3 linked regions of the Lytechinus pictus genome follow. The protein of the gene in region 1 purifies or fractionates together with the protein of each later gene. This does not show direct contact. Links are inferred from orthologs where the notes say so. Each region holds a gene or a part of one and is shown in the gene's direction. Other genes may lie near its edges. The genes, in order: E3 ubiquitin-protein ligase MARCHF6-like, perilipin-2-like and squalene monooxygenase-like.

Region 1 (11,499 bases):
GGCTGATAAGCAATGTTACTATGGTAACTGTCGGATAAAATGGGACTTGTCGGATAAAGTACGTCTGACAAGTCCTTTCATGAAACGCTCCCCTAGAAAAAAGACTGCACTTTTGTGCTATATGAACGCAAAAAATCACAATCCTATGGTCATATTTTGGGCTGATGAAGTCCCCCCCCCCCCCCACGGGGCCCCCAACTTCCGCAGCCATACCCTAAAATATTTTATCCTTGTCACATTGCATCGGGAAACTGTCCCCATCCCCTTGTTGAACGAGCACGATTTTATGTTGTGAGGGGACGGTATCACGAGTATGATATACTGTTGGAGCTATCCCCACTGCGTGCCAAACGAACTGTATATCCCATAGCGTGGGGACTGGATCACGAGTATAGCTATACTGTTGAAACTGTCCCCACCGCCGTGAAAATCAAGCTTGATTCCCCGTTGAGTGGGGACTGTATCACGAGTATATAATAGGGAGAGAACCCAAGTGTTTATATACAGTGTGTGTTTCATTTGTGTGTGTTATCATTTTGCTACAGAGCTGTCCGAGAGTTGGGGACTGTGTTCTGGAGAAAGGAAGTGATTTTCATGTGTTCTGGTAGGTGTGATTCTAATAGCCCCCACTTTTGGATTTGGGGACTATATCACGATTATGCCAAAAATCCAATTATTGGCTGCAAAAAAGAAGAATGAAAGTAGGTCAATTTTCAGCATTTCTCTGCCATAGACTGTGTACCAGTAGGATGGGGGGTCGGGTGTCCGGACACTTTATATTTTTGAAGCCTACTTTTTTGTCTTTGGATTACACTAAAAATACGAATTCAATAGTTGTAATCATCTTCTATTTTGTTCTCTATAATATTTCCTGACATTTTGTACTAAAAATTGATAAAACTTCCCTTGTAAATTTTTCCAAATGACTTTCTAAAATTGATCGTCCGGACACACAACAACTGGGTATACCTAGTTAAGAAATGGACACACACAATTCCAAATTTTTAGCTTCCGAGAGCTGAGAGCTGTTATAAATTTATCATTAATGCCAAAAACTTGTCCATTAAGAATAAGAGTCCAATAGGATTTTTTATGCTCTTTCTGATGGTATGATTTTATAAAGATTTGGAAACCAGATCACAATGAAAAATTGCGACAAAGTGAAAAAATTGTGCAAAACAGACATTTCATTTTCCCATAGAAAACGCATGGGAAAATCTCAACACACACACAAATAAGGGTTTGCAATTTATCTCTAAATCCTTATTTAAAATGATCATATAAACTTGTCCAGACTGTCAAAAGAAGCCCCTGAATTTTCTCTTTCCATACATGCCAAACACAAGTTAATAATCAATTCAGATCACATTTTTCTAGCAGCCTGAACTTCCCGAAAAAATGTGCCATATTTTCCCCTAAATCAGCCTGTTTTATGCTGACACTTTTCAGTGTGGCTTCAGACACCCTATCTTTATTTCATAAAAATATATAAAAAGAACTGGACCAAGGCAAAATAAAGATTATTATTTCGTTTTGGCCTGAAACGCACCAAAACGGGGGAAAATAAACTTAAAAGGGGGGAAAACAGTGACTTTCTTTGGCTGTCGCGCAACTTCACATCCCTGTTTTATCCGAACTTAATACTAGTATGGTAGGGGGTCCTAAAGCTACGCACCACTCCAATGCGCATGCAATTTCAATTGCAAAATGCGCACTCTGTGTGTGGAGCTCGTGACTGCAGTGTGACGAACCATTCCTATTCAGTTTTTTCTACAGAGGCTGCAATAAATCACTAAATACAGAGAAAACCAGCAACTGTTTGGAATTTTGGAGTTATATTCACTTTGATTTCATATTTTCCTATAAGATTATGAACATTATTTAGAAGTTTAGGCACAGGAAATACTTTTTCTTTGCATGATAAATTGAGTACGTAGCTTTAGGACCCCTTCTATATCGGGCAGGGAAATCAAGAGGTGTTCGGAAAACACGGCGGGATTTTCGTATTAGTGAGTTTTGTGATATTTCATTTTTGGTTATGAATCTTTACAATATTTAACACAAATTTAACACAAACAGGTGTTGGTCAACCTTGGACGCTTGACCAAAACAATCTGTACGTCATAACTTTACTCTGAATTGGGGGAGTTGACCTTTTAAGGAGAACATGAAATGTAGTGAATAAGAAACGCATAAAATGTGTGTGCGTCAGAAGTTTAGCTGGAAGAAGAATGAGTAATACATTCTTATGAAAGTTAGAATTGGTAAACATATGGTTTCCTGTTATACTTCCTGTAGAAGTATTGATTATGCATTGATATATTATTAAATATGTGAGATAGGTCATTTCATCACATAACAACTGGATAAAATGGAAATGTTCATTATTTTCCTTATGATATTAAAACACATGCCCTCTTAAGTTAAGGACACTTTCATTGATATTTCAACGAAAGAGACCCTTGTCAGAATATGAAAAGAATAAATTAAGCAATTTCAAGTTATTTCAATATTCTGAATTTTATTGAATGCTTATTTCCAATGATAATTTTGCAAATTATGCTTTAGATCTAGATCTCGTCTAAATGTTATTTTGTTGAGGTAACAATAGGGTTTGAATAGATCTAGATCTAGAGTGAACAAAACCAATGCAGAACTTCTAAACCCATGTTTTCTTTAATTTTTAAATGCATTTTGATAACCTTTATCTAATGATAAAGCATGCCGGTCCATTTCAATATTTCAAGTTTGGTTAAAAAATTGGAAAAGGGGTGGAAGAAAAATGAGAGAGAAATAATGGGAAACATACCAAAAAAAATTGTTTGGACCTAGATTACCCCGGAGAAGTTAAATCGACATCAGTTTTGGGTCGTCTTGCCAGGCAATTAGATGACCTGAAAAGTGATGCCAACCCCCAAACAAAAAATAACTTGGCACCATCCCAGATAAACTGCATCAGCGTGCAATTGAATGGAAAAAAAAATTTAAAAGGGGATATGTTAGGGTGGCTTGCTGTATCTTACTTTACATTTTCTCTATATGCCGACGGTGGCGGGCGGTGTGCAAAGAAGATCATGCCTACATAGGACATGTCTGGAAATGTCTTTCCAAGGACCAAATTGGCTTCGTGAAACAGTTGAGCGATATCACGTTCTTACGTAGAGCGGTTATACCAAACACCCTTTCATGCAACAGGCCCCTGCATTACCTCAGGCTCAGTCCTGTTTGGTCACTACCGCTACACTATGCTACACCTACCCGAACCACCAGGGCACATTCAACAGATTGACACTCCCAGTCAGTGACAAGGTGTGTCACTTTATGTTGCTGAACAAAACCAAGTCATGCAAAAACATGACCTTACATGTGATCGACTACAACTCATCTTAATACATTTTCAACCTGTTTCACTTGTTTCTATAGTATCAGTCTTAGGGACAGTGATTTTCCGTTTAAAAAAATTGCCTTTTCCGTTTCAGAAAATCTTAAATTCTGTTTCAGCATGTCAGAAAACGGAAATTCTGTTTCCCCATAGATTTTGTGTACATAAAAAATTAACGATTCGGTTTACCCATTCAGTAGCAATAACACAACACTCGCGCTGGTCAAAATTTGTATCTGCCACTGAACCAACAACGCAGTAGAATCTGCTCTAATCGGATCTATGCGGGTACACAAAATATTTTGACAAACACATTTAACATTAATACATCCTCACCTTTCACATTTTTAGCATTATTTTACGGTTGAATGAAATTTTTTCGATAATTTTGGGGTTTTTTGGACATCGTTTTGAGCAGTCAACAATTTCGTTCTATCCGCCATTTTGGATTTCAAGATCGTGCTGTTACATCTTCAAACATGGGCAGCAACACACGACCTGCATGTGAATGTTTTCGATACGGCCGATCGACCGTACCCTGCCGGCGCGGCCGGGAAGGACCGGGGCGAGGGGTACGATTGAGTGTGATGGAGTGAAGAGCAGTCACGATGTGTGGATTGTCATGATCGTAGTGAAGTGAGATCGTGTTTTGTGAGGTTTTGTGGCCATTTAATATTCGTATTTTGTTGAGATTTTGGAGTAATATATGTTGCTGTTCTGTGTATTCTGAGGAAAAATATGTTTTCCGTGATTTTCCGTTTGAAATGTCACTTTCCGTTTCAAAAGGCCATTTCCGTGAATTCCGTCCGCTTTCCGCGATCGCGGAAAATCACTGTCCCTACAGTCTCAAAATCTGTGATTTAAAAGCCAGTTGCTACTTCCTCACCATTAGACACTGCCGATTCCAAAACATCGCAAACGCAAATTGCGCATGCGTGGAGATCGTGGCTCAAGACATATATGAATATTGTGTTCCTATAGATTGGGATCATTTCGCTATTTGCATATTCATACTTATGGATTCTTCTGAATGTAGTCTTAACCCTTTGAACCCTAAATTCTTCGGGGCCGCCATGACCCGTACCCTTAATAATTTGCACGTATCAACCAACAGTATCTTCCCCTTGCTATTACCCGGACCGGGCCGGCTGAAGTTGTTAAGCTTCTCGTAGACCTAGACTACAGACAGAAATATAAACTTTAGTGTCTGTTTTGGGCTCAAAATCACTGTTCTGACTAAAGTCAGATTTATCAATAGCTTCCCCATCTAGTCAGCACATGACTCGCCGCATATTTCACCGGTGTTGGATGTGCCCTGATGGTTCGGGTAGGTGTAGCATAGTGTAGCGGTATTGAAGTGTAGTGGAGCCTACATGAACCATCACCTGAGGTACATCTGCATAGACCGATTAGGTCTATTTATGTCAGGGTTATGCTCTGCTGAGACTTCGTCTGGCTCCATGGTATCCTTTCAGTCAATACACCGATGACAGCCATTGGGCTCGTAATGGTTGAACTTCGACTGATGCTTAACTACAGGGTCTATGGAGAAAAGGCATCAGTCATTGTTTTGAGGTGCATGTGAATAGGCGCTATACTTGGAAACTATAGTAGTGCTGCAAGTTAGGCGGCATGTTCGGGTTCGGTTCGGCGTGGTTCGGCACTTTTTGTCCAAGCTTTGGGGTCTAGCAAAGTATGACTAAATAAATTACAAAATTATTTTTTAAATGACCGCCAATCCTGAGCCAACAGAACATTTTTCATAACGACGGTCTGGCATATAATGGTTATGAAAATTGTTGTTTGATTTCCTTTTTTTTTTTTTTTTTTTAATCAAAACTAGAAGTCCTTTCTTATTTTATTTTCAAATTGAATAGAATTGCCAAAGAAAAAAAATATTGAAAATGGGATAATGAGGATTGAATCAAAATTTCACATAGATATGATTATGATACATCACAATGTCATAGCAAACGCAGCCACCTTGATCGGGAAGAGTACTGATTGGGAATGTTGAAACACGAGAGGAACAACCTCCAGTCAACTGCTATTATACTGGTAAAATTAATAATTCAATGAATATGAAATGTTTTCGAAGTCCATATGTTCTTAAAAGTGGTTTAATCTGGTCAATTGATTATTTTAAAAAGATAAATTATCAGTCCATTCTTAGTCCTGAAAGATTGACGCTAAGTGACTTCAAGCACATTTCCAACACGAAAATGAGACTGTATATTTTAGTGTTGTGAAATCACTACGCGTCAACCTTTCAGGACCAAAACGGAACTGATTATTAATTTTTTTTTTTAGCAGTTGACCAGATTAAACCGCTTTTGTCTCACCTGCTTAGCAGAGCGAGACTATACGCACCGCTTTTCCGACGGCGGCGGCGTCAACATTGAAATCTTAACCCGAAATTGACAGGGCTACAATGTATATGAGATGTTTTGAGGACTGGGGGGGGGCCATAATGGCCCCCTCCCCTTCTGATCTCGGCCGCTGTTCGCGCGATCGCGCCAAAATTTGGCTCGCACATTCTTTTCCACATAAACTACAAGCCAGTACAAAAAAAAATTCTGAAAACGATTATTTTTTATAATTTGTTATAAATGAAATTTGCAAATTTATTTGTGAAAAACATTTGCATAGTTAACACTCAATTTCATTTCAAATTTTTTTTTTTTTTTCAGACTCATCTTTTAATCAAATTTAAAGGTTTCCACGAAGAAAAATTTCAAAAGTGAATTTTTTCCTTATGTATTTCTTTGTTTTTTCATCTTTTGCTTTTCATTGTTTTTTTTCAATGGAAATTATTACAGACCATTTAACAACTAAATTAAACCCTAAATATTTAAGCAGACCAATTAGAATGAAAAATAATCACCTTTTATGAATTTCATCTCCCGTATAGACTTTGTACACAAAGTATAAAAATTAGCCATTTTCGGCATGACATTGTCACGTAAAAAGTCGCGTGGCGTCGAGATGCTATACCCGTATGTCGCGAATTTGGTCTCAAAAGTTGTGCGAGACTTCAAAAAAAAAAAGTCATAAAATTTTGCGGCGTTATCTTTTTTCATTTCAGAAATATCGTGCGAAGCGTTGAGGGGGGGGGCATCATGGCCCCCCAGTCCTTTTAGGGTTTGAAATGTCATCATAACTTAGAAAGTATATGGATCTACATGTAGTTCATGAAACTTGGACATAAGGGTAATCATGTATTACTGAACATCCTTCCTGAGTTTCAGGTCACATGACCAAAGATCATTTAGGGTCAATGAACTTAGACCATGTTAGGGGAATCAATATTGAAATCTTAACCAAGGTTAAGGTTTTGAAATGTTGTCATAACTTAGAAAGTATATGGAGCTAGTGCATGAAACTTGGGTAATGGTATATCCCTGAAGATCCTGCCTGAGTTTCAGGTCACATGACCAAGCTCAAAGGTCACTTAGGGTCAAACTTTGGCCATGTTGGGGGTATTCCATATTGATTAAATTCAATCGCAGGAATCTTGATTGTTTTAATCATTCAATTGTACTTACCCTGGCGAACAATCAAATGGCAAAAAGCGATATGTGAATGTTGATTACTGGTGCTTTCACATGATTGGTGAATGAACAATTAACATAATTCCAACCTGTTTTATCATTATTGTTATTTCTATGCAGCAAAAACACTGATCATGATTGATTTCACTTAAGTTGCAAAGTTACATTTTGGTACATTTTTAACATTATAATTTTTTTCACAATCAAGAAAAAAATTTGTGCCATAGAGGGCTTTATGCTTCCAACTGGTTGCTTCTTCGGACTGCGTTGTGAGATAATTTTCTCAGTTGTGAAGAAATCTGAAAGCCACAATCAGATGAATCTCATACAGGAGTCAAGACCATTTTATGAAAATATGAACTTATTTTCTTTTCAGATGTATGTAGAGTATGCAGGTCAGAAGGTGGCCATGAGCGACCTCTATTTCATCCATGTATTTGCACTGGTAGTATTCGCTACATTCATCAAGATTGGTAGGTATTACATCAATATAGGCATGAGTTTTTGATGAGGTTCATGACCGTCCTCTATTATTTTCAATGATTGTCTTTTGAATAAATGGAAATTGGTATATGTTATAAAAGTCTTGTATATACATAGATCTGTTTTATTAAGATGAGTTTGAATTAAGAAAAAATATAATAGAAACAATCAGATAGGGAATGCAAAGATATATTTAAATCCAATATCTATGCATTGATATACACGATATATATCTATGCATTGATATCCTACATTGATTCCAGAGCCCTGGGCTACTGCAGATCCAAGCTAATTTATTGCTGTACAGTGTATTGTATTTTTTGTAGATTTTTTGTCAAGCTCAGGTTAGTTAACTTACTTAACTGCATAGTATATTAAATCTTTGCAATTTCTGAATGTTCTGCTTTTGATATTTAATGAATTTCCCATTATTTGATTGAAGATAAAATAGAATACCAATGACAGATGGAAGTATTCTGAAAATAACTAAAAGCTAGTAATAGTAGAAATAATTACCACTATCAGAATAATGTTTGATAGATCGATTACCTACTCCTTCGGTCAATAAATAAATTTGTGTGACTCCCTCCCTCCCCTTCTCCTCTCTATCCTTTCTGTGATTCCCATTCTCTTTTTACTGTATCTTTTCTCCTCCCTTTCTCAAATATTCTTATTTTCCCCCATTTAGTCTGGTGCAATGGCTAAAACACAGCAAGAAGGAATATTGTGAGCTATGCATGCACAAGTTCACTTTTGCCCCAAGTAAGTCCATGTACAGTGTTATTGTTTTAGTTTGAACTTATTGTTTATTTAATAAATAATGAAAGATAATTTCAATTATCAAAGTATGTAAATGTTAAGGTACACTCATATATGAAAATGTGATACAGAGCCAGAATATTAACTCTGGTCTTAAATTTTGGAGTATTTCAGGCTGAAAATGAGAGTTTTAGTTAATTGATTTAACTTAAAATTTAAAGAGCAAGCACTGAAATTTTCATCAAGATATAACTTTTAGAAATTCTTGAACTTAATAAAGTAATTTTTTTTAAATGTTTTGGTGAAACCATTATCTGCATGTTATCATGAATATGTGCAATAAGCAAGCTAATGATATATTATATCTCCACAATTATTATGTTATTATATGAAAATCTGTTAAACTATTTTTTTCCAAATTTTGTATTGTGCCTTCTGGATTTGGTGCATTTTAACTGATGTGACTTGATTAAAATTTAAAAATTCATATATATGTCTTGTTTTTCTTTGAAGTATACTCTCCTGACATGCCCCCTCGCTTGCCCCTCCGTGACATTGTATGGGGTCTTGTAAGGAACTTTGGTACAGCTGTACTCTGTTGGATCCACTATACCATGGTCATCTTTGCTTGGCTTGGCATTGTTCCTGTTACAGCAAGTATGTCAAGTTATCTTCCTTAATATTAAGCAAAGTTTCAATAAAATCTGTTAAATCATTGTATGTAATTTGATGTTTTTAATTATCTGAATATTTAATTATGTAGACAAGATTTTATTTTTATAATGTGCAATTATAATGATTATTCATTTTTTATTCATTCATCTGTATACTGGTATTCATTATTCAGTTATTTCTCAATAGACATGTGAGTATCCCATTATTCAGCGATGATTTATATTTCTAGCTTCAGATTACCTATTAGCATACCATTTCCCTACTTGTATAAGTCTTATCTACCTTTATCAGCCTTTCTTTCATTTGCCTTTAGGTCGTATATATGGCTGCCTCTTCAATACATCCCTCGCTCCCGTGTTGTCCTTGCCATTTGATATCTTCTCTTTGTAAGTATTCAATCCAGTGCATCAATGAGTACCTCTTGCTGCTAACATTATGTGCTATCAAGTTACATATCAAAGTCATTACAAGAAAATCAGTTCAATTCAGTTTATTTTTCTCAGCATAAAAACAACAATATGAATAGTACAAACATGACATATATCTTATCTACGGCTGACCCATAGTTCCCTCTGATAGAAGTAAATTACATTAAGATTTTTTGTGTAAGAATGTAAAGGCCTGTTGTATTCGACCAGGAAGATTCCATAGAAGCCTTGCGTTTGTATTGCATGTAACATAATCCATATGTGAATAGTGCACTCAAGGTTATTTACAGTGATGCAAAAAATATCAGGAGACATTCTCATTACATTGCAGATTTGCCTGGGTCACCACTATCATCACAAACTTAAACCTTTGTATCATTTATTTGATGTTATAAAGCTGATTGTCAATTTGAATAAACATGGCCCCAAAAATTGGTTACCAATGTGAATTTTCAAGAATCCCACAGTTATTACTTAAAGAAAAAGTCCACCCTAACAATCTTATTTGAATAAATAAAGGAAAATCAAACAAGCATAACACTGACAAGTTCATCAAACTTCGATATGAAATAAGAAAGTTATGATATTTTAAAAATTTGCTTGATTTCAAAATCATTGTGTACATCCTGGTCAGTATGCAAAGGGGGAACTGATGTCACTCACTTTTTCCTTTTGTATTATACTTGTAGTTTTAAACCAGGTTTGATTCCTCTTTGATCATGTGTATTAATTGTTATTTTGATACGTATTATGGTTCAATAAATACCTTCGTTATTGTCCAAACTTCAAATTGAAATATTCTATATATTAGATTTATTATGAAAAATGTTGAAGGGGCTATATAAGCCCCCCCCCCTCCTGCCCCTGGCTATATAAGGATAAGGCAAAAAACTAGTATTTTATTTTCGGGGGCTACCTTTCACAATCTCATGGCTAAATCTGCAACATTGCAGGCCCAGAGGAGCGGTGTAATTAACTCGGGATAATACCCAAAACATCTTGAATATCTATTTCATGGACAATTCATCTGCTTATATATTTGCCGTTTGTGAACAATTCTCTCAAATTTTCGGGGCCTTGATTGAATCATAATATCAATTTGTTCTGAAAAAAATCATATCCAATAATCAAAGTAGTTTTCATTTGTTTTCTCCAAAAAACTACCTCCATACGATTTCCAGGATCTCAACATATCTGTACTCCCAAATGAATATTCATGTGGTTTGTTGTGCATATCCATTTGATATGTACAGAGATGCTTGCCAAATTTCTGCTGTGCCAAAGCCCTATTTTTTGAGAAATTGTATATAAATGGGGTTGTAATACATAAACACAAGGAGTTTTGGATACCAGCGAACCCAATTACGTAATTCCTTGCACACGCTCAAAGACGCCCCGAGGTTTGCCCACATAACACAGGGCGTGTAAATTGATTATATCGCTGATTATACACACACCTGGGGGCCGTTTCATAAAGCTGTTTGTATGTTAAGAGTGACTTTAAGAACGACTGGTGGTCCTTTCTTGTGGTAAATAATATTCACCATCAATTGTTCATTGGTGATTAGTAGCTCATAAGAAAGGATCACCGGTCGTTCTTACAGTCGCTCTTAACTTACGAACAGCTTTATGAAACATCCACCTGGGGGGTGTTCCACAAAGATTTAAGTATGACTTAAGTCGCACTTAAATGCCGACGCGTACATGATATGCAACGCGTGATCTTATTGATAGATACGCATTAGTGCGCATCCTCATGACACGATCTGACCAATGCGGTCAAGCCTTTCATACTTTACGCAACTCGGTATTTAAGTGCGACTCTAAGTCATACTTAAATCTTTGTGAAGCACCCCCCAGATTGGGTAAGCAGTGAATGGGGATTTTTTATGTTCCTGGGGCCCGTTTCATAAAGTACTAAGTGGCAACTCTTGCAATTTTGCCATTATGGCAACTACCATGGAAACCTTGATTCTGATTGGCTGCTGACCCGTTACCATGGTAGTTGCCATTATGGCAAAATTACAACAGTTGCAAGTCCTTTATGAAACGGGGCCCCATGACTATTTGAGCATTTCTGGGGCCAAATCGCCCCTAAGCCCCCATCAAATTTTGATTGGGATAATGAAATCCATGCTGTATATGATTCATGTTAGTAATAACATGATTTTGTGAACAAAGAAGGCGTCTTTAGAAAGTCAAATCGTGTTTTAGAATTGAC
Region 2 (10,557 bases), on another chromosome or scaffold:
GTGATTCGACCCCCCATTTTCTTTTTTCAAAATAGTGAATTTGAACGATTTATCCCTACCCATTTCCCCCTGAGTTCGCTCCTGCAATGCCTACCGAGACGGGTGTTCTTTGAGTGTGACGTCACCGGGGGGTATTCGGTCCCGGTTTAGTAAACAAGGCAGTGCCGTTTTGTGTACTACTATGGAATAACTGCAGTTGAAGTTGTATCTGCGAGCCATAGAACTTGCAAAGAGGAAATGATTAAAATATTTGTGGCCGTACTATTATTCCAAATATGTGAATTCCCTCAGAATGATACCATAGACCCTAAAGGAATAATTTCAAGGTGAATAATATGAAATTTGATCGAGATCTTCTCACCAGTCGATAACGTAGCAGACGTGTTATTATGACATATTTATCCGCGTGTGACGCGGCTCTTGCAAAAAAACACAGTTGGTTGCGGAATTGCTTTGTGCCGACCGGCCGCCCGCTCCGGCGCAGCTAGCTGTCGAGCTACCGTACCGTTCTTGTTGTCTTCAACCATAGAGATGTATACTAATTACTATATATCTTTCTGTCTTCAACTCACTTCCGAATTGCGTTTGTATGTGTGACGGTGACCCCTAGCGTAATTAAATATAGAAAACAACTCAGAAGGCCGAGAAAGAATACTATACGTTTGGTTCAAGATTGTTCTGTGGAATGAGCTATGGGTGGAAATGATCCAGAGGATATAAAAGTGGAGTCAAAGACAAAAGAAAAGAAGAAAAAACGCCAGGGGATCGCTGCACGGCCATGAACTAAGTCGACATACCAGACCATAACAGTACACTCAATGCCTGGGTGTTGTGTGTATTAGTATTATGCGTTCAGCGCGCGCTGAGCTAGCCGCCGGAATTACTTTCCAGCTACTCACTTGATTGAACATCGTGATAAAATAAATGAGAAATAGTGAAAATATCATTCAATAACTCACTGTTTGCTATCTTACATCATGATTGAAGAGTTCATGGTGGTTATTCATACTGTTTTTTATACAGGGAAAGTAAAGATTTGTACATATCAGTCCTATTTGTTTGATTTGAGTTGCTTTGAAAAAAAATTGTAAAATATCTTTCTCTCTCTGCATAGCATTTCTGTATGACATTCAGGCACCTCTTATACTAAATTCCCCCCGGTGACGTCACACTCCGAGTGACTTTTCTGTACACTCGTCTCTCGGGCTCTGACAGGTGGCTAATTTCATAGACTTTCAAAGCAAAATATCGAGAAGGCAGATGATTATTGTGACATGCTATGTGTTTGAACAACTTATATATACTATATATTGTATGTAGAACCTATACTTATGGAAACTCACCCCCTTCTTAATTCAACTTTAAGAGAAAGAAATAAATGGCACTCGATAGTGGGGTCGAGATCATGTTGCTTGCGCCGGCCGGCCCCAGCCCCTAACTCATAAATCTTTCACATGCATCTAAACGTAACATACAAGACCCCAATTTTTTTCAAGATTCAATTTTTAGGATAGCCATAGCAGCATGGCATTTCATTTTCAATCAAAACTCGATCCACCCACTTTGACAAGGTAGGTAGGCTTCGTAAACAGAATCAGATCGATGATGTATTTCACACAATGTGCACTATAAATGGCAAGTTTTTTAGTTGCATTTTCCGTACTCAGTACTACGATATGTGCTCGATTTGGACTAAGGTTAGATCTAACCTATAGTCTATACATACCTAACAAAAGGTTAAAATTAGAGTAGGCCCCTATAGCTTTTTTCGCATTTAAGGTACCACTGTGTAGAACAGTGCAGTCTTGGTCCTCACGATGCGTAGCCCAGGGAGCTCCATGGGTTACGCGATACGTTGCCCGGAACGGTGCAGGCAGGGGCAGCGCTCGCAGGCGGCGTGCCGTCGGCGGTAAATATATACCTACGTTGGCCCAAGTTAATTAACAAATTAATGACAATGTTCGCTGTCAATACCATCTCGCAAAGAAATTCAAGTGCATGTTGCTGATACATTATTTTTTTTTGGTTGAGTCCTGCTTCATAACCCCTGCGATGGCGACGTTTTCATGTCCCTAGCAGACTAAACTCTCAATACGGCGCTGAGCATGCTCAGTACTGCTTTATTACACTGAGCATGCTCAGTACAGTGCTAAATAGAGCGCTAACTTCAGTCATCGATCGTGGTAGATTTAGCCCCCCGTGCTAAATATTTAGCACCCCGTGCTAAATATTTAGCCCGATGGGCTAAGTTAGCCGGGGGTGCTAACTAGCCCACGCTTTGAGAAATGCTCGGTGGGCTAAATTAGCCCACGGGGGATAGTTAGCCCAGTGGGCTAAGTTAGCACGGGCTAAGTTAGCCACCCTTTGAGAATTCGGGCCTACATGTCTCTATTTCATAAAACGTACACAAATATGGTTATTAGATCAATGTAATTTCAGGTAACTTGTTTTTTTTCCAATCATTTTGTAAAAACCAGGGTGAGATATACACAAGTTTCAATGTTTTTTTTTTTTCATCTGCAAGAGCAGTGCGCATTTTAGCTTGCATGCAGCTTGAGCGCCGTGATGGGCGAGTGCGCCAAGCATTTTATTATGAAATACACTTTTTTGGGGAAAAATACAAAATATTTATCTCACACGGTAAAAATACTGATTTTTTTTGTCAAAATACTGATTTTGGGGGATAAGAATACTGAAAATGCAAAATACAACTTGGCAGCTCTGTATAGATATCATTGAGGCTCAAAATAATAAGTTTTGCACAATTTTCAAAAGAAAACAAAGGAAGAAAATTCAGGTTTGAGGCGCATTTTCAGGCCAGAAATTCACCTTTTTATCAAAATATTGTATACAAAATAAATGACCAATATGAATCTGATGGTGCATTGATATTTCATTTGACTTGAGGTTAAAACAGGTAAATTCTTAGAGTAAGAGAATCTCACGAATCATGAGATTTTGCAAGGAGGAGGTTTCAGCCACGAGATGATTTGGATGAATCTGGCCTTTTTGCTCATTAGCATAGGGACCTGCGGTCTGACTGGAAGTATGAGGAATCATGTTGACTGCAGTATGAATATTCTAAAGTCCCCAGTTTTTGTCTCGCCTGCATAGCAGAGCGAGACTATAGGCGCCGCGTTTCCGACGGCGGCGGCGGCGGCGCCGTCAACATTGAAATCTTAACCATGGTTAAGTTTTTGAAATATCATCATACCTAGTTCATGAAACTTGGACATAAGAGTAATCAAGTATTACTTAACATCTTGTTTGAGTTTCAGGTCACATGACCAAGGTCAAAGGTCATTTAGGGTCAATGAACTTAGACCATGTTGGGGGAATCAATATCGAAATCTTAACCAAGGTTAAGTTTTTGAAATGTCGTCATAAGTTCAAAAGTTTATTGACCTAGTTCATGAAACTTGGACATAAGGGTAATCAAGTATTACTAAACATCCTGCCTGAGTTTCAGGTCACATGACCAAGGTCAAAGGTCACTTAGGGTCAACAAACTTTGACCATGTTGGGGGTAGTTGTGGAATCGTCATCATAACTTTGAAATTTTATGGATCTAGTTGATGAAACTTATACATAAGAGCAGTTGTGAATCCCTGAACATCCTGTGCGATTTTCAGGTCACATGACCAAGGTCAAAGGTCATTTAGGGTCAACGATTACGAACTTTGATAATGTTTGGGGTATTTGTGGAATTGTCATAACTTTAAAAGTTTATAAATCTAGTTCATGGAAACTTGGGACATAAGAGTAACCATGTATCCCTGAATATCTTGTGCTTGTTTCAGGTCACATGACCAAAATCAAAGGTCATTTAGGGTCAATGAGCTTTAGCCGTGTTCGGGGTATTTGTTGAATTGGCATCATAACTCAAAAAGTTTATGGATCTACACATATGTAGTTCATGAAACATAGACATAAGGGTAATGGAGTTGTTTTGCACATGTCTGAGGTCACATGATCATAGTCAAAGGTCATGTTGGGTAAATGGACATAGTATTTTATTATCATATGAGTGTTTTCTTTTATGAATAATTATTCAATAGTCTTTTTCAAAGTCAGCACTGCAGGTATATCAAATCGCGTAACGCAGGCGAGACTGCCAGAGGCGTTCCACTTGTTTTTGTATGGAAAGCAGAAAAATTTGACGGGATTAGGAAGAAAACAGAATTTCTCGGCAAACAATGTTTCAACTTTCAGAAAGTTTCAGCTCCTGAAAATGATATAAAAATGCAGTGAAAATCATGAATATTAAAGCAATTTCAAAATAAAGATAACTGTTCATCAATGGAAAATCTGTCAATCAAATGGTTATGCATTGTTAAAGGACAAGTCCACCCCTCAAAAAAGTTGATTTGAAGAAAAAGAGAAAAATCCAACAAGCATAACATTGAAAATTTCATCAAAATCGGATGTAAAATAAAAAAGTGATGACATTTTGAAATTTTGCTTAATTTCACAAAACAGTTATATGCACATCCTGGTGGGTATGCAAATGAGGAGACTGATGACGTCATCCACTCACTATTTCTTTCGCATTTTATTATATGAAATATTCTATTTTTCTCCTCATTGCCAAGTGAAACAACGATTAATTGTGGTGAACTTGACCTTTAAGTATTTATTCATCAACCTCTGTGCATACATAATTTGTTTTTCTAATTAAAATATCATTATTTACTGTGTTTTGAACATGTGCCATGGTAGTGAAGAGAAGTTGATCTTAAAAAGAACGTAGAATTTGAATTTTACAAAGCAGAAAACTGGGGACTAATGATAAAATCTGGCGCTATATTAAAGTTGTAACTTATACATGTCATGAAGGCTGTTTAAGAAAAATAATCTGTAATTCATTCATGAGGATTTACCGTAATTTTAAATTGAAAAAATTTCACAGTGAAATAAAAAATGATTACAGTCAGTTTTCTTCTGAAGATGATTTAGTTAATATTCTGATAAGAGGGTACCAGTAGATTTTGTTCTTTTTCCAACCACACTATTATAACTTTTTTTTAGCAGTAATCAGTCAGTGGGCTACTGCAAGGCCAGGTTATGGGCATATTGTTGAATCACTTGACAGTGTCATTGAGGTGTTCTTCTTCTACAAACACTATACTAAGTAGGTCATAGCTCTCTGTGAGCTATCAATCAGCTGTTTTCTGACTCAGACCCAAAGCTGAAAGTCACCACAAGGACAAAAGTATTGCAACAGAGTTTCTGTGAATGCGGACAGCATGCAGTCAGGCACGTATCACTGTGCGTATACCACATGAGACAAAAGTGTATTGTGGATGGGCATTGCATTGATTATTTTGTCTGCTTCCTGAATTCTCTTCATATCTACCATACATCCTTGTGGCTAGTTTGGATTAGAAAAACATCTTTGTTCATTATTGATTACATTTACCAGACATAGAATTTAACTGAGGGTATTTAAGGTTCCATTTCTTGTGAAGTTGCATCAGAACGATTCCAACCTTGTTACATCAAGCTTGAACAGCTATAGCTGACTGAGTTGACTGCTACTGAGTAGTACTGTGCAAGATATCGTCAGCTCTCAATTCATTTTGGATCCATCTTCAATTCTATTTCAATCTTGTGTGAGTTGTCTTTTTTTCTCAACCAGTTGTCTTTGTAGACTAAGTTCAAGTTTAATGCTGCATTTTGCTTTCTTTACAGTTACTACGATCTACATGTACATACATGTTCAGATGTTACTGTACTAACAGCACTGTATGTTCTTGTGTTCTTTAGCATGTTTAGTTATTATTTTTTTTTGCAATCTAGACTAGGGCTACAGAGTAGGCCTGTGAAACGGGTCCCATGTCTTCCCACCTATTAATTTAATTTGAGATTAAGCATTAATTTCTTTTTATTCTGCAAAACAATTCATTTGATAATGCCCAATCTTATGACTAGCTAAGTATGGTAAGTGTGCTGAAAATCTCAAAAAAATTTGAAGGGACATGATTATTTTCTGGGGGAAAAAAACATCAGCCAGCATTTCCAGACTGAACAAAACATGGTGCCCCCATATCTACCTGCCCACAATTTCGGATTTTGATATGAAATGCAGCATTTTGAAGTTGTTACATGAAATGCCTGAAATTCAATATTTTTCCACCATTTTGAGTCAGATGTTTTAATGAATATCTGCCTTAGTATTGCAGGTGTAAAGTTTGTGATCGTTGCAGGTAGGTTTTGCGTATGCACAGGCAAGGATCACTCCGCTGCGCTTGGGGCACCTTGCAGATAGTAAAATACTTTGATTACAAAATGTTTGCTGGAGATTTGTATTAATGTCTCATTTCTCATGAGCCTCAGTGTATAGATTAGACTTACAATTACAGTTGATTTATTATTAGATCAGAGATATATGTGTGATTAAGCCTGAATCTATACCCAGTTGTTGTGTGTCCGGACAGGTTGTGTGTCCGGGCGATCAATTTTAGAAAGTCATTTGGAAAAATTTGAAAGCGAAGTTTCATAAATTTTACCGTACAAAATGTTAGGAAATATTATTAAGAACAAAATAGAAGATGATTACAAGTATTGAATTCATATTTTTAGTGTAATCCAAAGACAAAAAAGAAGGCTTCAAAAATATAAAGTGTCCGGACACCCGATCCCCCATCCTACTATTAAATGTTTGTGTGAAATAATTCCAGGACCAGGAAAGTATTCTTTTTTTTTTTAGTGCAAAATTTATATAGTATAGCCTAGCTCTACAATGTATCATGTGTTTTACTTTATACTTTTCAACTTGAATGTTAGGATTGAATTGAAACTGGCACTTTGCATTAGATCTGAGCAATTTGTAGTGCTTTCACTCCCAAATAAATACAAAGAAAGACATTGTAAAAGTTGAGGTACCTGTAGGATATTCCCTGTTCATATATGTGACCTTTGTTGAAGCAGAGTTAGCAGACCACATGAACTGTACTGACTAGTTTCACTTTTAAGGTCAAAGCTTTGTTTTCTTGAATCTTTGTACTTTTTATTGCTAAAATTAATGAAACAATTTTGTCAAAGCTTGTATTTAAAGAGAATAATAATGTAGAGATTTTGGAGATGCCTCATTTAAGGAGATACTGAAATAAAAAGAAAATCCATAATTTATTGTTCGAAATCTGAAAATAGAAAAACTCTGAATGAAAATAATTTTTGCCCAATTGATTGTGGGCCCAGCAGCCACTGTGCAGCGCTAGATCAATGTACATGTAGCTCTATCCCTTGAATTGTTGAACGCCAAACAGGGTTGCAGCAACTCCCATCTTTTACCGTCTTTTGTTCTGACGCGGCCGGCCGGGTTTGAACCCCGATTGTGAGACGGATGCTCTACCAACTTAGCCAACGCACTGCATGATCTTATAATCTTGTCATTGCAAGTCAAAGAAATTCTTAACTTCTGCAAATAATGGATGACTTGTAGCATTTTAAAAAGTTAATCCATGAAGCCTGATGCCAGAGATAACCCATATTGGGCTCTGTAGGTCTAATAACTGATCCTGGCCAACAGGTTAAAAGGCAATTATCACTTTGAAAGACTTTGCAAATTAGCAATTTATTACAATTTCCACGTCATTTCTTGCAATTTAAATTTGCTACTCTAGGGTGTACCTGCATGTCTGACAGTGAAGTGAAGAGAAAAACAATTGTCCATTCTTTCAAGTCAATGACACACCTCCCCTGAATCCCACTCTCTAAAATTTTCTTTCATATTTATTTGTTAAGATTTCCTGTATTTTGTTCTTTACATATAGAAGCTCAGCAGCAACCAGCAAGCATGCAGCCAGAACTTGAGAACCAAACTACAGGAGAGGGTGAAGACTGTGGCACTCAGGTTAATGTCATCAATCGTATGGCTGCACTTCCTGTGGTCAGTTCAACCTTGTCCCAAGTGACCAATGCTTACAACTGGAGTAAGGACAAGAATAGTCTGGTCAAGTATACTCTGGAGATGGCTGAAAGTACTGTAGCCATGGCTGCTAGCACTGCCCAGCCAGTGGTCAATAGACTTGAAGGACCAAGTAAGATAATGCTTGCTTTCTCATTTTGCAATCATAATTCAATCTTTCATTTTTTCCTTTTGTTAGGACTTAGGAGCTTCATGCTTGCATATATATAATGTACATGTGCACATTCGAGGGGAAGTGGTTTTGCATTACTGGTTATCTGCAGATGATACTTAAAAGTTAAATTAATAATTTTTTTATCCCAATCAAAATATCTAATCCCATAAAACTGATTTTCTCCTACTTGAAAAAAATTGTTATTTACAGCGTATTAGGTGATCTTCAACTTGTGTAGGCATTCACAGGAAATCAAATAATTTGTTGTGGTTTTGAACTAATCAAAGTGAGTCATTGGGTTTCACATGCCTACAGGCAACAACTCTGATAGTACGGTTTGAATTCGTTTTTTTTTTGTCCCTGTTGAATGGGTTCCTCCTCTTGTGGTAATCACCTTTACCCCCCTCAATGAATTAGTACTTATGTTTTACATGATATATAATTCACTTCAATTGATTGTATTGCTGAGTAGGATTAGTATGGCATAGGTCAATTCCAGAGGTCAATACTTAATATGCCCCTCAATATATTTATTTTTTCTTCAGTTTCTGCTGTTAATGAATATGCTAACCAGCAGATGGATAAACTTGAAGAGAAGGTCCCAGTCATCACTGAATCACCAGAGAAGGTATGTATCAATACTGAAAGACATTGTTTTGTTTCCAATGTTAACATGTTACTTAATACTGTCTTGTGGTTTGCAGAGTTCGTGTCTTGACTGTTGAACCTTTTTTCAGATATGAAGAGAGTTTTGGCCCTGGCATATCAAACTTGATAGGTATCCGTTGTGAGTTTGAGAAGCGCTTCTCCTTTTCTTGCCATACAATTCATTTTTACTTGTATCTTTTCTGGATTTGAAGAAATATCTTAATCAAGCAAGATTTTTAAATGTTTTTATTGCTATATTGAAAGTATAGGCCTATAGCCCTGTCATGCTACTCAAGTCACCTAATAGATTTATCGAAATGATACAAGGTCAGTCTTGAATCTGGTCAAAGGAAATAATCTTTTACATTTGGAAACTCAATTTTTCATACATTCAACATCTAAATAGTAATAATGCAACTTCAGAGTGCCAAAATCCTCCCAGCAGACCAGACTGCTCAAGGCACATAGAGAGTGAGGAAGAAAATAGAAACTTTTTGCCCAGATTTTTAATGATTCAACAGAGATACAAATTTGTATGTCTTAGGAAGGCTATTCCACAACGTTGGGAACATGTGAGCAAAGGACCCCCCCCCCTATGTTTTTGAAACTGTGAATTACTTCTGATTCTAATCATCCACAAATTTACCACTCCTCTTTAATTCCTTGTTTTGTCTTGATCAGATGATGATGAATCTCCAGGATGGCACTAAGAAGATGATTGAAAATACCAAGAAAGCTGGTTCAGATCGCATCAATAACCTTCTACTGACCAGACTGGGGAAGGCACTGACCACTGGTGTGGACACTGCTCTACTACTTTCTGAGTTTGCTGTGGACTACTACCTTCCTGACGAAAACAGTAAGTAGTCAAGACACACATCTTGTGTGATTATATGGTTTCATATTTGTCCAAAATATAAATTGTTCTGTAGGCTTTAGTTTGGTTAACAAATTAATGTAGTCCAAAGTAATCTTGGGATTTCCCCATGTAGGGATCACATTATTATTATTGCCTCATTTCTTCTTTTTCATCTTTGCACAATATTTTCACTTTTAAAAGTGAAATTAGTGAAATTTATTTTCACTTTTATTTTCATCTCTTCATCTTTTAATTTTTGTGTCATTCATATTTTCTCATATTGTCCAATCATTAGACCTTTGATGATAATTGAGACCTGTGTCCAGTATTTCAAAATCTCTTGTCTCTTGTCTATCTCCTTCTAGCCGCTAATAACGGTGAGGTGCAGGTCCCAGACCAAGCTTTAGCTGCTGCTGGAGTTGAACCGGAAGACCATATCCCTGAGGATAAGCCCCTTGAGGCGACTGTCCAGCGAGCAAGCCGTGTGTCCAACAAGGTCAGACGTCGTGTTGTCAACAAAGCCATGCGTAACGTCCGTTATGCTCAGAAGCGTAGTCAGGAGACGCTTGATAAACTGCACTTTACTGTAGACTTGGTAAGTGGGATTGGAACATATATCCTGCTGAATCTGATTATCTGTAATTCCCATAGGCATTGTAAGGATTATTTTTACTTAATGATCAATTTATTTTGTCAGATTGTATGGAGATTCCTTGATAATTGTAATTAGAAATCTAGTTATAATTTTACTATCATGCTTCCACTACACCTCTCTTGATGCCTTCAAGGTTTTGAATTATCTGGTACAAAAAAGTACACACATTTACCTAGAATACAATTTGCATCACTCCTTAGAATTCCTGGCTACATCCTGATTAGGCCTGGTGCCCTCCAGCTTGCTGCTCCTTTCACTGACATTTCAAGGGACAAACCTGGTCAGGAAGCAAATGCTTCAACAACAAATTA
Region 3 (11,272 bases), on another chromosome or scaffold:
CCGCCGCCCCTGAATTATAAGATAAAATCCTAATGAAACATCTTTTGGTCCGGTATAGTTCATATTTATTATCCACCTGTTCTTTCTTACAGATATGGGAGCCTACACTATGTGTGCCAGCTCTGAATTCAACGGCTTCAAACGACCCATCTTATATTCCATCATATCCAAGGAATATATGTAAGTAATGCGTAACCCATTAATGTAAAAACTTTGTAATGAATTACACCCTGTTGGATGTATGTTTCATGTTGTTCATTAATGTGGAGCGTTGTGGCCCAGTGGATTAGTCTCCGGACTTTGAAACAGAGGGTCTTGGGTTCAAATCCCAGCCATGGCGTAGTTTCCTTCAGCAAGAAATTTATCCACATTGTGCTGCACTCAACCCAGGTGAGGTGAATGGGTACCTGGCAGGAATTTATTCCTTGAAATGCCACAGCGCTGTAAAAGGCTGCGGGGCTTAAGCCAGGGTAATAATATCCAAGTCCTTTGGAAGGGTATAGAGACGTTATTTATGTGTTATGCGCTATACAAGAACTGACTTTTATTATTATTTCATGTGTGCCAGCAATGCAAGATTCCTCCATCACAAAATCATGTTATGGTATCGCACACTTACGAGACTAGGGTCAATCTCTCTTGCGTAGGTCATTCACAATGAATTGAGATGATTTGGAAGATACTAAGGAAATTCACCAGAAACCAAGAGTAAAATATATATGGTCTCACAAATATAGCAATTTTGTTTTTGATGCAGATTATTTGAAAACGATATCTAAGCAGTTTCAATTCCGTATTATCTTTCTGTGCCAGCTTTTTACTCTTGAGTTTCAAAGTCTCTCGTTATGTTTTGGTAAATCCCCCAAAATGTATAGCTGGCACTATTTAACTTGTACTTATATAAATGTTTACATCCTTCATATGTTAGGGTGTAGATGATTTGAAATTTGGCATGATTTTTTATTAAATTTCATTTTGATAGAGATCCTGACCAAAATAAAAATGAGATATCAGTCCTTCACGTATATAATTTTGTGGAGCTCAATAAATCACTCTCATTTTTTTGAGGAGCTCAATTGAGCTCCTCAGAATCTCTCTCCTTGAGGAGCTCAAATCAATTTGATGTATGCTAAATTGTAGATTTTTATTAAAATTTCAAATGCAATAGCTGTGTTGCTATTAATTAATCTGTGGTGAAACTAGGCCTGGGTCATTACGTTTACAAAATATCGCGCTCCTGCTTTCAAAAAATTACAAAAAATTGCTAAAATTTCACATTTTACATCTTTAAATCCATGAAATGGTCATCTGTTTTCCATGATTCCTTGAAATTATTTTGATTTAGTCAAAAACTATCAGGAAAATGAAGAATATTCAGCTCTTTCTTGACTCTGATTGATGATGTTACAAATGGTAAATATTGTAGTCCCACATGTAGACTTCCATGGTGTTGCAACTTTAACTGAAAACGATCTTTGATCGTTTGATCATTATTGATCGTTTTACACTTGGTCAACACCATGAAAATTTTTTAATGAATTTATGTTTCTCCCATATCCCCAGGTCCATCGTAGAGCGCATCACTGACCAGCCTAAGCCACGTAACAGCTGCAAGGCTTCCTTCACCCAGCTAGCTACATCACCACCAAGAGGCTTCTTTGATGAGAACAGCTGTTTGGTTGATCTCCCAGACCCACCCTACGATGACATCTACGGTTTGGTGGATGGGGGCGCCTGCAGAGAGATCGCTGCAGAGATTTGACAGTTTCTCAACAACAAAAACATATCCAGATACCCAAGATCCTAAGTCTCACTCTGATATTCTTGATCGGTAGCAGTTGGTTTCCTTAACAAAAGAATGTCATTATATTATTCTGTAATGTCATGCTTTATACTTTCACGTTTTCCTGTGATATATATCCATGGTAGTTTAAGTTGTGATTAGCTCCTTTAAGAATGCTTGATTGATGTGCGTTATTTATCCCTCCATATCAAGTTCCTTTGTCTTTTATTAGGCTATATGATCTTAAAGAGAGTAATTGCCAAGATGTGTTACTTGCTTCATTACATGTAACACATGTTGAAAGCCACTTTCTTTCTGAACACAGAGTAACTTAGCAGTTCTTTCCTTTATAATTATATGTATGTATATACTAACTGGAACTATATTTGTTGTGGTGTACTGTGGAAAAATAAGAAGCAGCTTACCTTAAAATAAATTTGTTGTGTCTTGGTTATATTACATCAGTAGGACTGGTATTTAAATTTATTTATATTTTGATTTTCGTTTTTGTGGATTTTTGATAAATGGAAAATATATATCATATACAATGGATGCTATTAACATTGAAGTGCCAGAAAAAGAAATTGCCTCCTATTCGTGTTTATCTTTTTGATTCACTGGAAATTTTCAAATGCCAAAATAAAGGCAAGGCACATTTTTTCATGTATGAAAAACTCAAACGAAACAGAATTTCAGGTCTTATATTTGACAATCTGCAAATTAACATTAATTGCTGATTGTGAGTCATTGTGATGGAGGATTCTTTGAAGTTTTCTATTAAAAATAGCAAAACATATTTGATATGAGCATTTATATTATATGATTTTTAAGTCTCAAAAGGCCAATTTCAGGTTATTGATGTATTTTGGTATTGTGGATATACAACATTTAAAATTCAAGAGAAAAATTATGTGTCTGATGTTTCCACCAAGGAGTAAGAATTGATGATTTCATTTACAGTCCTACCTGTAATGATTTTACTAGTAAGAGATATTTGCTTAAGTTTTCATCTATGCTGCTATATTTCATGCTAAGATTCTTCATTGGTGTACAAAATTAAGCAATTATTAATCATATGAATTCTAAATTAACAGAATTATTGGCATTAAAATTGATGTGTTTGATATCTAATGTATGCTGTTCTTTTATTTAGGGCATGTTGTATAATTTTCTTTCTAAAAGTAATGTAGTATTAATTAAGTGAGATCAGTATTATTCATTGAGTACACTGTCCTGTTCTAAATATAAAATGGTGAGAACTGGAAGCATGCATTACTAGACAAGTTTTATGAATGAAAGGTAATATTTGATTTGTCAACTATATATTATTGTTATCAATGTATTTGTGAGAACATGATCTTAAAAGTTAAATGCTATTATCCTAACCTTTCTCTAGGTTATTTTGGTATGTTTGTTCTTTGTAAGAAAAAGAAAAGTAGTAATGAAAGTAGAGCATAAATTGTTAGTACAGCCCATTTCTTCTCATATTGTTGAAGCATTTAGGAACAATTCAATATGAATCAAAGTTTAATTCTATCTACTGGAAAGCCTTTCAAACTTGACATATCTTGGCTCCATATATTTCATTTATTTGCAACATGGTTATACTCACGTATTGCATGATTGGTACATATAGTGGTTAAATATATATACCCTTGTATTACAGGAATGTTTAATTTTGTGGCTATCTGCTCTATGATAATTTTAAACTAACAAACTTGTTTTCATTTAACAATTTTTGGTTTACAGTTTACTCCATTGTAGTAGGAATAAATGATTGGCTTATCACGAATGAGATTATTTCTCTGTGTTTGTGTGTGTGTGTGTAATATCAGTCAGTGAGAACTAAAGTGTGAGGAAAATTAAATCATGGCTCCACCAGTAGGGAGGCTGTCAAGACTGGACTAAGTCCTGCGTCACATGGCTATGACACAACAATTGCTCCGGGCTTTATTTTGTCTAAGATGTAGGGGCAGGGTTAGGGTTGCAATAGGGTTTTATGTTAGGTTTAGGGTGGGTATAGTGTTGAATCCAGATTGGTGTTTCGTAAAGCTGTCCGTAAGTTAAGAGCGACTTTACAAATGACTGGTGATCCTATCTTAGGAGCTAAATCCACACCAATGAGATTTTGGTGTGCGTGCATATTTCACATCAAGAAAAGATCAAGTCATTCCCAAAGTCACTTCATTACTTTACAAACAGCTCAATGAAACACATCCCAATCCCAACAGGAAATTAGTCATTGGATTAGTGTGTGGAATTTATAGCAGACCAATTGTCGCTGGGGCAAATGTCACGTTAGTGACGTAACACACATGGCTTCTGGGTATTCAGGCCGCCCTTTACTCCCATCATTGTACAAACATGGTACGATAAAGCCTGGCAACATGCCTTTGTACACCCAGAGATACATTGAGATCATTGCATTGATGATCATTGTGTATGATCAATGGTAGTAATCGGCGCCACGGTCAAATACTGATCTTTATGTTACCATGCCGAGTGTTAGAAAAGAGATGGAGACATCAAAGTGAAGATGAGAAAGAGAGGAGAAAAGGAAAGTGATAGAGAAACGGGACATTTTATACATGTAATCAAGATGTTGAAAATTCATTTAATGAGAGCAAAATTTTGTGAAGGCGAAGGGTGTAAGTTTTGAGTGAAATTGATTTTAGAGATATATATAAGGGAATAGAGGGGATCAAAGGACAGTAAGAGCATTAATTTTTAAAAAAACTTTTCATTCTCTTCCTCTGCCTTCTTCACCCCAATCTGCCTATGCACTCCAGGGGCCTGTAACACAAAACTTAGCAATGATCTTAGAACATTTTTCTACAATTGATTCCATTGACTATAATGTACAATCAATCGTGAAAATCAAGCGTTCGATCAATCGCTAACCTTTGTGTTACGGGACCCTGGACTGATGATTCTGTTCATGCTCCTATACCCGATTGAAGAGGTACTCCAGGCCGAAGATAATTGTATATGAATTAATAGAGTGAAATTCACCGAACAAAAACACTGAAAACTCTATTTCTTCAAAAGCAAATATTTTTAAAGAAAGTTATTGAATTTTGAAGTTCAGCATTATTGCGTCATATATGCTCACTGTCATGAATATGCAACATGTGGGCTGGTGAGGTCATGTTTCTACTTCCATATTTTAATACATGAAATCATAATTATTTTATATTTTCATACATGATTATATGATATGTCTATGTGACAAAATAAGTTGCCACTGTCAACATCTTACACATTGAATAAGTTGTCAGTTCACTTTTTGTATTTCTTCAAACATGCTCGCTATAAAGTGTAATTAGATGTAATTAAAACATAAATATGGGGGCGAGGACATCCATCAGCTTGCTCATTGCACATTCATGAAGATGTGCATATACTGTCTAAGCAAAATAATAATAATATAATGCCAAACTTTAAAATGCCATAACTTTGTTCCTTAATTATCCAAATGAAATTTTGTTATTTTTTTTTTTTTTTTTGGGGGGGGGAGGGGGCGGGTCGATCTCATTTATTGATTTCAGTCAGCCTGGAGTACCAGTGCATAGCGACCCCTATGCATGCATGAGTAGCACGCTTATTTGGCATTTATTTCTGAACAGAATTCAAGGAGGAAGCCCGCGCTCGGAGGAAGAAGAGGGGGGGGGGGGGGCAGCTATATGCGTGCAACTCTATTCATCACTCCTTCAATTAGTTTGACGCCACTTTTTGGTGATCATCTCCGGCCCCGGCTGTCCCATGCCCCTCTGTATTAATTTAACGTGGCTCGTACCCGCGGGCCCATCCTCCCTCCTAAAGTACGTGACTCATATTTTCTCAATTGTATACATATAATAGCTATTCTAATAATAATATCTATAATAGCTCTTCTTTATCCTTTTTCATTTGCTTCACCCTTCCACTATTTTCTCCTCTATTTAGCCTGCCTATAACTAAAACAATTGGGGCGTGGTCGCCACGTGCATGCCCCCCCCCCCGGCCCCCCATTTGTACCGCCCCTATGGCTATATATGTGCCTATTTATGGATAGATGAGAGCCTGTCCAAGGCCCGGGTCCAAGGAAGTCAAAGCAATGAACAATCAACATGGCAAAAACGAAATTACTATTTGATTTATCACTAAAGTTCGGTTGATGAATTTTCTAAATAGTCTGAGAATTTCAATCGTAGCTAGATTTTCAGTTGCATAATCCTTGCTCACGCGATTTTCCCTGCGATGTTGTCGATGTCAAAGGTCACGTTATCTCATCAGCTCAGCTGTATTGCACAAAGAACGGCAGCTAGTGGAGTAGCAGCCGATAATTAGCATTTTGCCGATGAAGTTTGCACCTATAATCACTCGGATATAGGTAATCATTTGATTTTATATATTCTCATTGATCTTAGGTTTAATAGTCAATTACAGAACGAAATTTTAATTGATATCTGTGCACTATCCTTCGGTTTGCCGCTGCCGGGATGCGGGGATCGGGAAAGTTCTCCGCTGATTACAAGTCCGGTTCCGCTGGACAAGACGCAGGGCGGAGCTGCGCTACGCGACAGCGTTAACGTGTAAAGACCTGTGGCTGTGTATCAATGACAATGTTGACCTGGGGTGGTATTCTGAAAATGGTCTTAAATTTTCTTGTAACTTTTCTTGTAAGTCAGGAAGATACACGTGGCTGATCTCACAGTCATATTTTCTTTGAAAAGATTCATCATCTCGATTACCAATTTTTAATTGCTGAAAAGTTTACCAATGCGTCTCTGCCTCTGGGCCTGGGGACTGTCATGTCTCATGACTGTAAATGTCTTCGGAATGTCTCCTGCAGTAAAACACGATGTTCTTGCGGGATGCAGCAAGAAATTATTATTTTTGATCGAGAAATATCGCAAGCAACATTAAGTTACAATAGCCACCTACCTCTTGTAAATTTTCTTGTATTTTTGCAAAGAAGTTAACAGAACGCAAAGATAAGAGAATTTTCAGAATACCTTTTATCTCGATATGTTATCTTGCGCACATACATGTATGTAGGCCTAGATATTTTAGGCGCCGTTTTTAACTTACGCATCATTATAGCTCTGACATCATACGCGCTCAGTGAAAGTTACAAGAAAAGATACAAGAATTTTCAGAATACGGATTTTATTCTTCAAACTTACAAGAATATTTCTCTTAAGAGACAATTTTCAGAATACGGCCCCTGTCTTTATCAGAAAAATCAGGCAAATTGTTGTTCAAAGTGAGTTGTCGTTGGGTATTCTCTCAGTGACTGAGAGAATACGGTAATGTCTGTCACAACAATTTCAATTTTAAGTTAACTAACTTAGAATTATGCATTTTGGGCCTTTTGTTTTGCACTTTCATTTTTTGGGGACAATTGGATTTGTTCCAAGGCGAAGATAGATGGGAAAGGAGGAACTTGATAGAAAGGGGAGTTTGTCCTCTGCAGTATCATCACTCTAGAATTTACAACTTGTGAACTGGGCAGTGAAGGAGGACATTTTCAAGTGACCGTCTGTTAGATCACTATCTAGAACCTTTACTTAGAACCCTTGATTCTGTTATCGTAGTCGAGTGGTTTAAGTCATCAGATCAAAGCTCTCTGTGTATGCCATGCTGCTCTTAATGGCACAGGTCACAGGTTCGAATCCAACTTTTGATTGCCAATAGTAATATATTTTTAGAATTATAAATTGATGGCAATTTTAAAGGTCTGAAAATATGCATTATCGCACTAAACAATTCATATTCATGCATGATTGATGACGGATCAGATTTTCAACTTTAGAGGTGAAAAGCAAAGTCTATACTTTTCTGTTATATAAGATTCCTTTTTTTATTCATTTAAAAAAATTCATCTTCTGAGGACAATATGGATGAAAGATGATCACCAATGGCTCTGTAGTTTTCCGAATCAAAATGTGAAGTCAGTTTGTTTGAGGTGTGGATGATTTAGAGAAAAAATAGAATTGAATTGAATGGTTTATTTATTTCAAATGTTCACTGAAAATAAGCAGCCAAAGGCTGAATTACATTCAGTTTACAAATATACAGACATATAAAAAATATACAACTTGAAATAAACAAGGCAAATATCAAAATGAAATTGAGTACAAAGACATGCCAATCCTCACACTTGCTCTTGCTCATCCCATAATTCTCATTGTCACATTTCTAACATTTGAACACCTCCATCCCACAAACAGTTATCTGATTTTTGTATTTTGTCTAATTTGTCTCTTTTCTTACTGTTTTTTCCAGGTGTTGCAATGATTGAAATTCTAGTAAGTCTCATCCCAGAAGGGCTGGGGTATCCCCTGGCTGTGTCTGCTATACTTGGCTTGTTGCTTTACATTCTACTGGGCAAGCCATCGTCTATGGTGAGTACAAACTATTTTGACCTGGTATTCAGGAAAGTTTTACATACTGCTACTTCTTAAATATCTTCATCATGTTATCAAGTGAAACAAAATTAAGTAATGGGTAGAAATAAAAGTGTAGAGCTGCAGGTTTTATTTTGTTAGAATTTGCAATTAGTCCCAACCTTGTTTTAAAGATTATAAACTCCCTGTTTCTGTATGGCAAATTTTGCATTAAAAGTTAATTATAAATCTTTCATAATCAAAACTTAGCTGAAGTCTAACAGTGTTTCTAACTGATGCTTGATAATACCAAAGTAATCCCTTTCTCAGTTTAAGAGAACTCTATAAAGACGCACCTTTTTAATTCCTGATATTTGTTATTATTATTAAAGTGATTTGATGTTCAAACATTACAGAAGAAGCAGAAGAAATCGACCAATCATATGACAGCACCATCATCACATGACACTGATGTTCTTATTATTGGCTCTGGGATCCTAGGGTCAGCCATGGCTACTGTGCTGGCCAGAGATGGCCGTAAGGTGACCGTTATAGAACGAGACATGAAGGAGCCGGACAGGATAGTTGGAGAGTTGCTTCAACCTGGTGGCTACAGAGCTTTAACTGATCTAGGATTAAAAGGTATGGTTTAATCTGTTCTCTGTGACCATCTATCTCCAACTTTAAACAAGGAAAGGGAGAATTTACAAATTAAGTTCATGCCAACTGGTGTGTTGGCTCAGTTAGTAGAGCGTCCATCTCTCAACCGGGAGGTCAGGAGTCCCAGCCCCGGCCTTAGATCAAAAGACATTAAAAGATGATGCGAGTTACTGCTACCCTGTTTGGTATTCAACAATTCAGGAATAGAGCTACATCGATCTGGGGCTGCACAGTGGCTGCCAGGCCCACGATCAATTGGACAAAAATAATTTTCGGAGTATTTTTATTTCAAATTTCATTTCAAACAATAAAACAATGGATTTTCATTTTCAATACTACGATTTGAACCTGCAACATTGTCGCTGCATCAGAATGACAAGTTGCTTATTGAAAGGGTTCTCATTACTTTATATTCTTACTAATTCATTTTATTTCAGAATTTAATACCTCTCAGTTGCGAATATTTACGCTTTCTGTCATGAGGTTTAGCCTTGACTGAATAAACCCAATTATTATATTATTCTCAAAGACTTTGTTATCAGTAGGCTACCAAAGAAACAATTACTGGCAGCAGGACATACTCCCTTATATATTTTTAAAGCATATTTTCGATGTGTATTTCTTCAGTAATTTATGAAAGGTTGAATACTGTTCAATTGATGTTCAAAGTCCAGCTACTTGATAGTAATCTGAAAGCAAAGGACACAGACCTTTAAAGTGCCACTTAGAAAGATAGTATGAGTTGAATCCCAGGTTTGGTGGTGTATCACACACGTTACTATGCCTTTGATTATTGGATTATATCAATCAAGCCCTCCACTTTATTTCTTGTAATCTTGGTATTGTGAATTGACAGTATGAAATCAAAGTTACATAAGACATCAACAAGGGAACAACTAGAAAGGAAATAATAATAATAATAAATAATAATAGCTTGATTTATAAAGCGCTTTTTGCCTGAGGATACAAAGCGCTGCTATTATTAACCCAGCTTTAGCTCGAGCTACCATCACCGGCACTCAGTGCATTCAAGGAATTAATCCTGCCGGGTACCCATTCACCTCACCTGGGTCGAGTGCAGCACATTGTGGATAAATATATTGCGGAAGGAAAACACGCCATGGCTAGGATTCGAACCCACGACCCTCTGAAAGGCGAGAGTCAGAACCACTAGACCACAGCGCGCCCACATGAATGTAGAGAGAAGTGCAGGGTGAAACAATATTTCTTTTTTTAATGTATGAAGTGAAATGGTAATATTTTTGATAATTTCAAAGCCACATCCAATCATAAAATAGATTCATAAACTTTCTAATCAATGATGCCTTTGTACATGATGAAATATCCTAAAAATATTCTATAGCATGACAGCAAGAAGGCTTTATTGTTTGGGCAGGGTAAATAACAATGTGATATCAATGTTCTTGTCAGCTTATCTATTTTAAATATTTAGAATATTGTTTACTCAAGCACTTGTTCATAATGGATAAGATACATGTAGTTCATACATGTGGCCAAAAATCGTATGACAATTGTTTGTGCTAATGAGACTAAAATGTCACTTATTTTTTTCATTCCATATTAACCTACATCACTCCATCTTTCCTTTCACTTCATAGTTTGTAAAAGTCTATTAAACCATTTGTTTGTTTCCATCAGAAACATAATCAAACGTGTGCTATAGAATTAACACACCACACTACAGCTGTCTTTGAAATCAGACAAAAAAATGCTTTTCACTAATAATCCCCAGATCATGTTGACATGCATGCTAAGTAATAATTACTTTCAATTTCACTGATGACCTTTCCTATACAAATATAAAAATCATTTGTCTGGATGCATGTTTCTGCAAAAGCCTGGGTGTAAGCCTTTCACTAAGAGAAATCCTTCAAAATAATATTTCCATACATTCAATTCATTTCGATTTGATTTTATTCCATTCCATATAAAAATAGTTAATACATCAGCAGGTATAAATATGGTAATCAAAATACAACAATACAATGATATCTAAAACATGATTAAAAGTGGAAAATGGCTGCTGTATAAAACCCTATTAGAGGGTTTGTCTTGACAGCCACCACAACATTAAATATTTGTGTAGGAAAAGAATATATCTTATTGATCTTTTTTTCCATCAATTGTAATGATCTCCCTTTCTTTGCATGTGTGTGTGGGGGGTCCATCGCTTCTTGCTTTATGGATTAGCTTACAGTAAGTTCCCCCTTTTCTGTAATCTGTTGTTTTTTGCACTGTGACATCAAGAGGTCCGAAAATCATTTTTGCCATTGAATTCCTGTGAGTCATGACCACCAGCAGAAAAGTGATTGTATCTTTTGTTTCTCATTTATACTAAGCGCCCTTTTCTTACTTTGTAAGTTGTCTGTAGATTGAGTTGAATTTGCACTCAATAGTCTCTTGTCAATCTTGATTTAACATCATGAGCTTTTTCCTT

Evidence for each region.
Region 2: the proteins of E3 ubiquitin-protein ligase MARCHF6-like (region 1) and perilipin-2-like purify together in Homo sapiens (affinity purification with western blotting; 3 studies listed by BioGRID). This does not show direct contact. The link is inferred for Lytechinus pictus from reciprocal best matches to the Homo sapiens genes MARCHF6 and PLIN2.
Region 3: the proteins of E3 ubiquitin-protein ligase MARCHF6-like (region 1) and squalene monooxygenase-like purify together in Homo sapiens (affinity purification with western blotting; 4 studies listed by BioGRID and IntAct, with this or other methods). This does not show direct contact. The link is inferred for Lytechinus pictus from reciprocal best matches to the Homo sapiens genes MARCHF6 and SQLE.

The regions. Positions count from the first base shown.
Region 1 is NC_087246.1:38,703,293-38,714,791, reverse strand, and holds the start of E3 ubiquitin-protein ligase MARCHF6-like, read left to right. Parts: upstream 1-7,311; 5' UTR 7,312-7,406; intron 7,407-8,104; 5' UTR 8,105-8,153; coding exon 8,154-8,178; intron 8,179-8,688; coding exon 8,689-8,832; intron 8,833-9,163; coding exon 9,164-9,236; intron 9,237-11,499. UniProt on the Homo sapiens protein: Endoplasmic reticulum membrane-associated E3 ubiquitin ligase that plays a critical role in mitigating endoplasmic reticulum stress, the regulation of cholesterol and lipid homeostasis, and ferroptosis.
Region 2 is NC_087249.1:2,795,924-2,806,480, reverse strand, and holds the start of perilipin-2-like, read left to right. Parts: upstream 1-5,099; 5' UTR 5,100-5,612; intron 5,613-7,775; 5' UTR 7,776-7,798; coding exon 7,799-8,042; intron 8,043-8,629; coding exon 8,630-8,712; intron 8,713-9,413; coding exon 9,414-9,591; intron 9,592-9,956; coding exon 9,957-10,186; intron 10,187-10,557. UniProt on the Homo sapiens protein: Structural component of lipid droplets, which is required for the formation and maintenance of lipid storage droplets.
Region 3 is NC_087261.1:1,974,274-1,985,545, forward strand, and holds the start of squalene monooxygenase-like, read left to right. Parts: upstream 1-5,821; 5' UTR 5,822-6,155; intron 6,156-8,053; 5' UTR 8,054-8,061; coding exon 8,062-8,172; intron 8,173-8,570; coding exon 8,571-8,796; intron 8,797-11,272. Other genes in the region: ornithine decarboxylase-like, read left to right, coding at 93-180, 1,564-1,762. UniProt on the Homo sapiens protein: Catalyzes the stereospecific oxidation of squalene to (S)-2,3-epoxysqualene, and is considered to be a rate-limiting enzyme in steroid biosynthesis.